Linked DNA regions of Arabidopsis thaliana. The protein of the gene in region 2 interacts with the protein of the main gene of each other region in a pairwise test. Each region holds a gene or a part of one and is shown on either strand. Other genes may lie near its edges.

Region 1 (5,966 bases), on a different chromosome or scaffold from region 2:
GGCTGCGATCAGAGGAGCGGTTCGAGAGAAGTACCGCGGCTCCGCCCATACGGAAGATACAGTTAGATAGAAGCATTGATCGGTCGTTGCCTAAGTACCAGTTTAGGGTTATGTTCTCTGTGCTCACCACTAGTGCGTATGAGTTTGGTTGCACCTGCATTATTGTCACAAATTTATTATTACTCTCAGTAAAATATGTATACAATAAATAAAAATAAAAACATTTTCGAATCTTAGAAAATTCGAACAATGGTTGTGACTAGACAACCGTTATACGGTGGACATTAAACACAAATATATAAATGCAGAGGTATGTGTGTGCATATGTCTCAAGTGTAAGTAAATTCTATTCAAGTAGCCCAACATTATGTTGTAGCACATTTATGACCTTTGGTTCAATTTGCCAACCACATTAGAGATTCGAGAAACTTGCAAGCACGTGTTTCCACGTTCGCTTCTTAGATCTACAATTTAATTATGTTTGTAAAAGTGAATGTAAATTTGTAATTATGCATCAATCCTAAATTCCTAATGCATGAACTATTTTCGTAATAAATGAATACTTTCGAGAAAGGAAAAAATATGTAATCAACCTTTATAAAATAAAACATTGATCATTTAAAACAACATTATGGTTTTTCCATTTTCACAACTACCACCAACCTAAAGACTACAAAGCCTGTCACTGTCAGAATTTTCATAGACACGTGACTTTTACACGTAAATTTGGCCTTTATGCTTTCATACAACTCATATAGAATAAAGTTGCATCCATATTAAGTCGGCAACTAAAAACCAATCCAGTGACTACATTTTGATCAAATAAGTCATAGAAATATTATAGCACGTATTAATGACATGAAAGCTAAGTCAATTAATCAAAAAATCTAGCTGGTAAGTGTACTAAATGCTTTATTAAGTGACACCAAGACGCAAATAATTAAATTTTGAAAGGCAAATTCTAGCTGGTAGTTCTATTGAATTCCCCTAAATAATTTCTAAAATCATGAGCTGTCATTAGCCCTTTCAAATTTTTAAAGTCGAATAAGAAAAAGTCCTAGATTTTATTCTTCCACGAATCACGACGACTCATAACAGTCTAAAAGACCAAACCGGATTAAACCAAACCGAATAATAAGATATTTTACCTGAAGCATCTGTTTAGCGAGATCAATGGAGATAAGGCCAGCACTACATCCCATTCCACCAAGATTATAGCTCAAAATGTTGCCTCTAAGCTTATACTTATTCACAATCATAGCAGAAAGTGACGGTGTTGGATTAAACAAGCTACAATTCACCACAAGGATTCCAATATCTTTAGGTTTCACACCGGTCTTCTCAAGAACCGCGTCAATAGCTCCGAACATAACTGTTTCTGCCTCTTTTCTCGCTTCTTCCATACAAGGATTAGGAGGAACACGAAGAAGAGCTTCAGGGAAGTAAGTTTTCTGACCTAGACCGGATCTTTCGAGGATCTTTTGTTGGAAAGCTAAGTTGTCTTCTGTGAAGATGCCTACACGTTGAGATCTGTCCATGAATGTTTCACGAGTGCAGATCAGTGAAGGGTCTGGTTTGTAACACGAGAAGTCGAGGAGGAAGACACGGCGGGGACGGGTGGTGAAGTAAGCGGTGGAGAGAGAGATTAAGAGTGCGGTGGCGAGTGTGGCGGAGAGGAAATGGAAACGGAGTGTGTTGTAGAGGAGAGAGAGGTCGTTGATGGTGAAAGAAGAGAGGTTAGCGATTGTTGCGGCGAGGAGAGGAAGGAGGAGGATGTAGAGAGCGTTGGAGATTAGGTAGTGGTAACCGAGTTTTACGTATTTGAGACGGACGGATAATAGAAAGTTTGGGAGGTTGTTTGGGTTAGGGTTTGGCTCGGCGTTTGTGACATGGACCGGGACTGGCCGGTGAGGTTGGTTTTGGTTATGGCTCATCGTGAGAATGAGCAAATGTTTAGGATGAAGAATGAGATGAGGATTTGGAGAGAAGTGTCAAGTGAAAGATTTGTTTCTCTCTCTCAAGAGTTGTTTGTGTTGTGTGAGAGAGAGAGAGAGGAGAAAAGAGAATGGCCTAAAAAGTTGGAGAAAATTTGAGAATTTAATGGGAAATTTTTGAGTGAGAGAGAAAGAGAGAGGGAGAGAGAGACTTAGCTATTGAATGTAGTTAGGGGAAATGGGAAATATTTAAGGAAAAAATATGGGTTTTTAAGAAATATACAAAGAGAATAATGTTAGCAAATAAATTGTTCAAACTAGTAAGACATCAAAAACATTTTCTGTTCAATCTAGTCAAGCAATTTTGTTTAGGACAGTACTATAATTTTTTAGTCCATGTATTATTCAATATTATTATTTATATTATTTCTATTTTTTAGAAATGGTAATTTAGAATTAAATTGTGAAATTGTTTTCATTTTCCAAATAAAAAGGCTATTAACATTAAAAGAAAAATGAAAACATGTTAACAAATGAAAAATCGAAACTAAAACTGGATAAAATAAGTTTTGTATTAGAGAGGGAAGATGCAACTACCCCAACGAAGCTTTTAATGTTTTTAGACAGTTGAGATTTGACACCTAAGAGACGGCGATGACTTTTATCCCAATTGGGGGCTTTTAATTTGGCCGCGTTCTATGCAATTTACTCTTTTACCCTTTCGTTGACCCGTTATCTTCGAAACTACCCTCTTTATGTGCACAACTTGAAGACAGTTACATTTTACGTGGCCGTGTGAACTTGTGTAAATTAATCATATTATATGATTCATATATAGATGGAAAATTAATAAGTGAACCGAAATAGAAGTTTGTTGAACCAAATATGAGTAATTGTGTGGGTTATTGCCATTAAAACTAGTCCATCCATTTCATGTTCTTTTGAATGAAATTGAGCAAGTCTTATAAATACCACTTAAAAAGGTTTTTGTAAACAAAAAATGGCATACATGTTCTAATTGGTCTACTAATACCATTTTTAATCCAATGTAACTTAACTAACCATCCCTTAAGTGAAAATTAATCAGATAGTTAATGTCATATTTTTTATGTTTCAAATTAAGGATGTTCAAGATTTTTATACAGTTGGATATCAATTATAAAGAGTCCCATTTCAAAACCCGCGACTAGATGATGAGCGGAATCATCGACCGGCACAGTCCCAATTCAAAACCATTTTGCAGATAGAGAATCATACATTCTCTGTCACTCTTCTATATTAATACCGGTTGACATTGCAGCTGCAAACAAAGAAGAAGTTTGAGTTGTGGTGGATATTTTCAGAAAAACCAATTAGATATAAGATTGAGGATTTTGCTCATCATAAAATAATCTATAACTTAAATGTAGTCAAAGGAAAAACATTGCACTTTCTTTATCGCCTACTACTATATTTATTGTGAATAAATTTTAAGATAATACAAAAAAAACTATTGAACCTCATCAGAAACTAATTCACACTTGATTTTTCCTTTTTGACCAAACGAATCAAGAAAAACATTGCATTTTCACATATGTTATATCATTATCAAAGAGGTTGTAATTTCATAAACAAAAGTCTATATTTTATTTTTTACATTCTTTTTTCGTTAAAAGGCTTATAAAAGTCTATTATTTACACTTTACAACATAGTATTCACTTAAATATTTTCATTATTCTATCTAAAACTAATTTGTATATGAAATCATAACAAACAATTAAAAATACAGTTCAAAACACCAAAATTTGCCCCAAAAAAAGAAATCCAAAATTTGATAATCGTTTCCGATCGAGTTCTATTTGACTTTGTATTGACTTGCTTTGGTCTGGTCTCATCTTTAAATACCACGTTCTAACCATTCTTCATGATTTTATTCCCGCGGCTTTGGTGAAAAACGTTTAATTTTCTTAAAATGATGTTGTAGACAAGAAAACTTTGTGTCATTATCAAGAAAATAAGAAATGATGCCATTCTACCAACTCTGAACTTGAAAGCCGAAGAATCGTCACAGATAGTTTTTGTCGTAGATGTGTCATAACGAGAGAAACTACGGATCATTTGTTCTTTACGTGTCCACACGCTCGCCAAATATGGAGAGCTTCGAACATTCCCCTTCCGAGTCTATCAAATCCCCAGGTGCATTATGAAACAAAAATTAAAGAGATTTATGAATTTCATAAAAATGCAGGACAACATACAATGCAAGGGCAGCTACCTATCTCGATCCTTTGGAGAATATGGAAAAGCCGTAATAAGCTAGTGTTCCAACGAAAACAGAACGATTGGTGGAGAGATATCAGAGATGCTACAAATGAAGCGGAAGAATGGATCACAAATGGCTTATGTGCGCAAGTTCCCACTCCGAGTACGACTAATGGCACAACTAGGCAGTTTCAGAGTCAGTGGCAAAAACCACATATGGGATGGATTAAGTGTAATTACGATGGCAGCTTTGTGAATCGAGTTCGTGGCTCTACGGCAGCTTGGATAATTAGAGATGATAACGGCGTGTTCAAAGGGGCTGCTCAAGCGACAGGTGCGACCGTTTCCTCAGCCTTTGAAGCAGAATGTCAAAGCCTAATTCTTACCATGCAACAATTATGGATAAGAGGCTTTAGAAAAGTAATACTTGAAGGCGACTGCAAGCTCCTAGTCAATGTTCTGAATGGAAGAGGCTCAAGATTTGATGCTATCAATTGGATCCATGAAATCAAAGTTTGGAGAAATAAGTTTGACGCAATCAAGTTCACGTGGTCACACAGATCAACAAATCAACCTGCTGATATTTTAGCGAAAAACCAGAAACATGCTCTGTCTTCATACATAGTTCATAGCTTTATCCCATTGTGTATCTCAAATGCTCTGTTTTCAGACTACGTTTCCTAAGTAATAAAAATGAAGTTCGTGTTAAAAAAAAAAAAAAAAAAATGATGCCATTAACTCATATCATAAGTTCATAACCCAAAACTAAACTATCGTTTCATGTGTACTAACTACTTGTGAGATTTTCACAAGTCAATAACATGCGTGTGAATCTTTAACGCGTGCGTGATAAGTTTTGTATTTATATCATCATTTGGTATGTGTCAACACACAATTTGGGGAGAGTTTGTGTGGTAAGTAATGCAAAAATATATGTTTGTTATATAACATAGAACTGATTCTAATTGCTAAGAAAATTCCTACCAAACGAAGCAATTACGTTCAACAATTATTCTTAGAAGTTTGAAGAAACCATTCTCTACCACTCCACAATTCTTTCTTCTTCATTGGTTTTACAAATTCTACCTTTTCAAGTCATTCTTAAATCTTAAATAAACAAAACCAGTTTGAATTTTTTTTCGTAGTTGGTAGAAAAGTGTGTTCCAAAATGAGTTCTTTAGAAAAAAAATATTTCCAAAATGAATTATGATTTTTAATCTCTCTGCACCTTTAGTTATATCGGTAAGATATCTCAAATTCTTCAAGCAAATTATGGTACATATTTTCTATAGATAATATTGAAGAAAAAAGGAGCTTAACTAGTGTTGATTTCAACTATCGGAATCAAATATATATTTGCATTTCATTAGACACTAAACCTTTCAACAAAAAAATAATAATAATTCAATAAACACTACATGTGTAAGTGCATGTCACATGGATTACAAATCATTAAGCTAATATCTTCGATGAATTAAGAAGATAAGTGGATAACAAGTACCTAACCGCAATAGTCCATAAATTAAAACATTAATGTATTTGTCGTTGAAAATTTGGCCGACTTTTATTTGTTATTCTAGTTTCCACATCAAAAATGTTTGTACTTCGTAGCAATCCATCCACCTAAACCCCAAATCTTAATTTATATTTGTTGCGTTTAAATTTGGGTGAGATTTGATTCTAAGTAGTTGAGATAAATTGATATTCTATTCATTAGTAAAATGATAGAGAAATTGGTTTATAATAATTTTACCCTAGAACATGACATGATATTGGTAACCATTAATCAA
Region 2 (5,966 bases):
CATGTATTAAAGCTTGCAAACAACAAAAAGCGTGAAATAACACTAAATCACATGGTACACTGGCACCTGTTTTTTGAGATTACTAATACCATCAACTCGAGAAAGAGCATCAACTGCTCCTAGAAGAGCTACCAGACCCTGAAAGAAGGAGAACGTGTTGAGCAATAAATCGGGAAAAGAAGAATAAGAAGAGTAAATAAATGTATTCTAGATCAACCCAAAAGCAGAAAATAGCAAGTTCTCACAGATATTGGTGAATCTGCACCAAAACTTTTGTCACGGAAAAATGATGCAGTATCCATGGAGGCCACAGTCAGCACAACTGGTTTGCGATTGTTGGAAGACGAAACACTGATTGGTGGAAGCGAGGACCAAACACTGTCCTTCATAACAAAGTTGTTAGAAAACGAAACGTATCCTTTAAAAGGTTTTCATATGTCATTAGATCAGACAGTAATAAAGACCTAAATCTTTACCTATATCCGCCCAATGGGAGGCAAGTTCCCTCCTGCAAACAAGCCTCCGAATTGTGTGTTCCAGCTTTGGTAGTCTAATACAAAAAATAGAGAATTGGGTGTCATAATCTAAGTCAAAGTGAAGATCCATAAAGCTGGTTAACGTTCCAGTGAGCAAGATTGCTAAAGCCATATACCTCCATAACCATATTGAATTCAGCAACATCACTGGTATATGTTCCATGCTTCATCTTTTTCTTGGAAAGGATCTGCGCAAATATAATAGGATGTAAATATGTAGTCGATAACCTGAAAAAAGTGAAGCTATCCACATAAACTATACACTTTAGATTGCTACCAACACAACAGAAACATAAAGCTAGCTTCTTGACAGAACCTCATCTGGTAAGGACAACAACATACTATAGAATGACATAGTTGACCAGCAGTTTAAAGGCAACTACCACAAGACAAATGGAAAGGCTATGGTTGAGTCCAATTACAGGCTATGGAAAGCAACATGCATTTGAAATCTACAGATGCAGCTGGGAGTTGCCTTCAGCTGGATGAGACAAACATTCCAGGACCAAATTTGTATTCTTATTTAAAATGGGTAATCAATGCTTAGAAAAATTTCTGCAGACTAATTCAGTTTAAACTAGGAGTATTCATTTCATATGACCTTGGAGATACATATCTCATGCATCATTTTACAGCCATATTTTCATCAAGCAATACTGCTCTTAAGAGTGACCAACAGTCATAATGCCTCTCTAAGCCTTGAGTTCATTTCCTCATATTTCTAAAAATGTCATCAATTTCGCTTTTCTGACAACACAAATAGACACATTTAAAATTTGCAAAAGAATGCAAGTTTGAAGGATTACCTCATGCACAGCTGATATGCCACTTTCTGACAATAAGTACACAGGAAAATTATAATTTCTCCACATGATGCTTGATGCCTGCAAATAATCATTTTTTAGCAATGGTCAATGGCTAGAGACTTATCGCCTGCAACTACTCATAAGAATCAAAATCATTTTTTCTCCGTAGATAACAATAAGAGGAACTATCTTTTAATTAAGGTAGATAAATATGCAACAGATTTTTGAACTTCTTTATAAGTGATCATCTAGGCAGATACATGCATTCCTCCAGTAAAATTATACCATAAGAAAAGGATTTATGGTATTTGTGTGTTAGCAGGTAGTTAAGTTTAGTTCCAGAAGAAAACAGCATATAACTCGGAAATGCTTGACTATGGATTTGGTGATAACTGATTGAAACAATTTCCAACCCACTATAAAAGAGTTGACAGGAAGAAGTAATTTCAAAGATCCAGACAGAGTTTACGCTACCGTACAGCTGAATTCCATTTGTACTCAACGTTTTCATAGGGTGAAAACTGGGCTTGAGGAAACCTTTTATCAGGAGAAAACCCTACAATAAAGAAGAAAGAAACACTAACGCCATCAACATAGATAAGAAGTATCAAGTACTATTTTTAAGGGAATTAAGAACTCAAGACAATTTAAGGAATTAGCCATTCAAGTTGACAGAATCATAAATATGTGGATGGACATAGTACCTTTTAACTTTTGTTGGAAATTAGATCCTGATTCAACTAGAACACCACCAATTTTGCTAGCAAAGCTCAAATCAGTTGACACCCTGGAAAAGGCACAAAGAGGAGTGGTCCTGTTATTTCTACTGAATAGAGTGTCTAAGCGATGTACAAGTCTAATGAACAATGCCAGAAGTAAGCCAGACTGCAGGGTTCTACAGTAAAGTGTTTGGAGGTATACCTACTTTCCGTTAGTCGAATGAAAATAAAGCGGAAAAAGCCAATGAATTACTGGTTCCACTAAACACCTAATCCATGCACCAACAACCAAGTGACTACATTTCTAGCAGATTTCAAAAATGGTGATAAGAGGGTATACTCATTCCAATCTGTTGTTTCACTGTCATGGAAGATTACTAAAAGTGTTTGCCTTAAATACTCAAGTACTAATGAAAACAAACTCTTAGATATACGTTATTCTTAAGGATGTAATTGCCTTTCCAAAAAGGCTGATTTGGCACCCAAAAGCTAAATCTTGTTTGACGTTAAATAAAACACCAAAATGAGAACTACAAGCGAGTGGGAAAGCACTACTCCACAAATTAAGAGATCACTAACAAAATCGAATAGAGGTCATGAAAGTTTTGTAAATGAAAAAGGAGACATGCCTGGTAAAGAAATCTTCCATTTCATCAGCTGTAACCAAAATAGTGTGTGGCTGAACCAAATCTTTAACGTCCTTTAATTTTATGATTGGAGCCACCACTTTATTTATTCCAGGATCTGAGTATTTTTATAAACATAAAACTTAGAGGACCTCATCAACAGATAAAAATCATGTAGCTGAGAGGCCCAAAAGAAGCTTACTTGAACATCCAATCTCTCCAGACAGATTGAGAAGACGTACACAAGGAAACCCATCAACAGCAACATACATTAGCTTCTGAAGGTCAGGTACAGATTCAATAGATGTTATCTCATCTACACAAAACGAAACCTCAATTTCAGATTACAATGTTCTATCAACTAATACATTTCATCACCAATTTTATCCGGGGAAAGGAAACTCACCAGCGAGAGAGAGATGAAGAGGAAGGATTGAAAGTAGAACAAGTGTAAAAGCTATAGAAAGAAGACGAATAAGTCCCATTGCCATAGCATCCGTCAGAGAGTTGCGATTATTAGCGGAAGCTACTTGCAAATCATCGCTGCAGATACGATCAAGAATAATGTGACCGATTTTATAAAAGATCAAAAAATGTTAGAATCGGAAGAAGCAGTACCTGGGAAACGAAAAAAGGGGAAATTGGAAGAGAGAGCGAGAGAGAGGTCCGATTCGCCGGAGAAATGGAAACCTAGCTCGGAATTACGCGGTGGGAGTCTGAGTCAAAGACTGAGATTTTTCGTGTTGATTCTTATGTCTTTCAAAATTCCCAAGATATAGAAAAATTGAGGTATTCACATTTTGTGCGGATTTTATTATATTAAAAGTAATTAAGTGAACCTATCTATATATATATTTTTGCAGCCATTTTGTAAAATAAATCCTAGATTTGGAACTTATTTACAATGGCTGCCACTGGCTTTTATTTATTTATTTTCTTTTAGCAATAAATTGATTAACAAACAAAAAATATTCCAAATATATTCCAATCCCATATATCACGCAGATTTCTCCAAAATTTGAACTAGATTTCGGAAATTATTTAAAACAAAAAATATTTGACAAACCAAAATACAATTGCAATCCCTTAAAATGAGCAAAACGCACATAAATACATTTCTTATCAGTTCACTAAATCTTATTTCTCCAAAATTTGAATTAGATTTCGACAACTATTTAAAACAAAAATTTGTTTGACAAACTAAAATATAATTGCAATCCCGTAATTTTTTTTTTTAAATTAGCGGTGTACTACAAATTTTTTTAACGGGACGGGTTTGGCAGAACGGGTTTGGAAGGATGTTACTTAATAACAATTGTAAACTATAAAATATAAATATTTTATAGATAAATATAATTTACAGACTTTTATATATACTAATTTTAAAAAATAATTGTCTCCGCGGTGTACCGCGGGTTATAATCTAGTTGTTTATACAAAAAGAAAAAATATTTTCATTCCACATTTTCTTTTTTTTTTTGTAAGAAATTTGTATTACATTTTATGGCTTCATTTTTACAAAATCGTAGACTAATTATGATTGATTAGGGTATTATTTGCTAGATTATATAGGCAAGTTTTGGCTAAAAATTGATAAAAAAAAAAACATATTGTATATGGTAAAACTATAATTTTAAAGAAATTATTCCATATGTGATTTTAACAAATAACGTAGATCATGTATAAACTGCATGTTAATTAAGAAAAAACTAGTGTTAATTTTGAAAACAATGTGTAAAAAAAATATAAGGCGCAAATTCTCATCCAACTTGAAAGTTTTTTTTGCATAAAAATCAAATTTGTCGTATATTAAGATCGGTAATAAGCCGTAATATAAGATTGGTCGCATCATAATAAAAAGTGACTACACCTCCTTGATAGTCTCGCTTAGGCATCTTTTAGGTCATATCAATACAACATACACATATACATATTTTTCAACACCTGAGGTGCGCGAAGATAGACACTTCTTCATCCTCTCCGTAATTCTCAAAATTAGGGTTTTCTTCCGGCAGCTCTCTCAGGTACTTTCTCGCTCTTTCTTCTTTCATCTCATTGCGCCTCTCTTCGTTTCCTTTCGTGAATCTTTTTTTTTGGTTGGGGATCCAAAATTGGGATTTGTGTAACTCTTCTTATCTTAATTAAAAACTGAATCTTTCTCTCATTTTTGTTCCAATGATTGCTAAGTTAGCTTAAACACGCCTTTGATTGACATTTCTCTGAGTTATAGCTTTGTATGTGTATTGGGTTGTTCTTGGTTGTATCTATCATTGTGGTCAATTTGTGTGAAATAATCAAATAGAATTGTAGTTATAAGCTGAGGATTCTCTTAACAGGTTAGATTGGCAGCATAAAAAATATCACTTGCAAATTCTGAACAATGTCTGTTGTGGGAGATTCTAACATGGAGCTGGAGTTTTCTAAGCAAAGATACTATTTTGACTTTAGCCCTTCTTATCTTTCTTGTTGCCATGAATATTTTAACCTTCTTTGCATCTAACCAAGGCCTATGATATCATGGTTTTTATCCGCTCTCAGGGGTCATTTCGTTTCTTATCTTTTTTTGTTTCACCTGTTGAGCATTTCATCGCCCTCTTCTCTCTTTGTCTATTTGTTTGTCACCTTTTTAGCCGCATTATGGCAAAGCGTCAATTCGAACTTCTTATTCTTCTTTTCTATTGGCCTCTTATTGTTTCTTTTCCAACCTTTCCTCGGTTTTATTCTCTCTCCCCACTTGCTTCTTGCTTCTGTGTCTCCTCCACAGTTGTACTGCAAGCATTCTTTTCTAGATATTTAAGATGTCAAGGACGAGGACTGCTGCTTCTGAGGCTCATGACTCCATGGAATCTGAGGAAAGGGTAGACCTTGATGGTGACAATGATCCTGAGGAGATTCTGGAGGAGGAAGTTGAATACGAAGAAGTTGAAGAGGAGGAGATTGAAGAGATAGAAGAGGAGATAGAGGAGGAGGTTGAAGTGGAAGAAGAGGAGGAGGAGGAGGATGCTGTTGCAACGGAAGAGGAAGAAGAAAAGAAAAGGCATGTTGAACTTCTTGCACTTCCTCCACATGGTTCAGAGGTTTATCTTGGAGGGATTCCTACTGATGCTACTGAAGGGGACTTAAAGGGCTTCTGTGGATCTATAGGAGAAGTTACTGAGGTAATTTGACATCTTCTTACCTAAACTATGGTTGTGATTTAATTTATCTTGTGCTGAGTTTGGTGTGATATCAACAGGTTAGGATAATGAGGGAAAAGGATTCTGGTGATGGAAAGGGGTA

What was found. The genes of interacting proteins can lie anywhere in the genome.
Region 1: the proteins of AT3G52640 (region 2) and KCS20 interact in a protein complementation assay, tested with the Arabidopsis thaliana proteins (one large-scale study listed by BioGRID).

What each region holds. Positions count from the first base shown.
Region 1 is NC_003076.8:17,581,871-17,587,836, reverse strand, and holds the start of KCS20 (3-ketoacyl-CoA synthase 20), read right to left. Parts: upstream 2,315-5,966; 5' UTR 1,935-2,314; coding exon 1,149-1,934; intron 155-1,148; coding exon 1-154. Other genes in the region: AT5G43755 (non-LTR retrolelement reverse transcriptase-like protein), read left to right, coding at 4,065-4,110, 4,277-4,510, 4,610-4,860. UniProt on the Arabidopsis thaliana protein: Mediates the synthesis of VLCFAs from 22 to 26 carbons in length (e.g. C22, C24, C26). Functionally redundant with KCS2 in the two-carbon elongation of C22 fatty acids that is required for cuticular wax and root suberin biosynthesis.
Region 2 is NC_003074.8:19,517,113-19,523,078, forward strand, and holds the start of AT3G52640 (Zn-dependent exopeptidases superfamily protein), read right to left. Parts: upstream 3,433-5,966; 5' UTR 3,306-3,432; intron 3,231-3,305; 5' UTR 3,179-3,230; coding exon 3,094-3,178; intron 3,004-3,093; coding exon 2,890-3,003; intron 2,806-2,889; coding exon 2,691-2,805; intron 2,130-2,690; coding exon 2,047-2,129; intron 1,899-2,046; coding exon 1,822-1,898; intron 1,421-1,821; coding exon 1,343-1,420; intron 725-1,342; coding exon 653-724; intron 551-652; coding exon 477-550; intron 379-476; coding exon 246-378; intron 139-245; coding exon 67-138; intron 1-66. Other genes in the region: AT3G52660 (RNA-binding (RRM/RBD/RNP motifs) family protein), read left to right, coding at 5,486-5,845, 5,923-5,966. UniProt on the Arabidopsis thaliana protein: Probable subunit of the gamma-secretase complex, an endoprotease complex that catalyzes the intramembrane cleavage of integral membrane proteins such as Notch.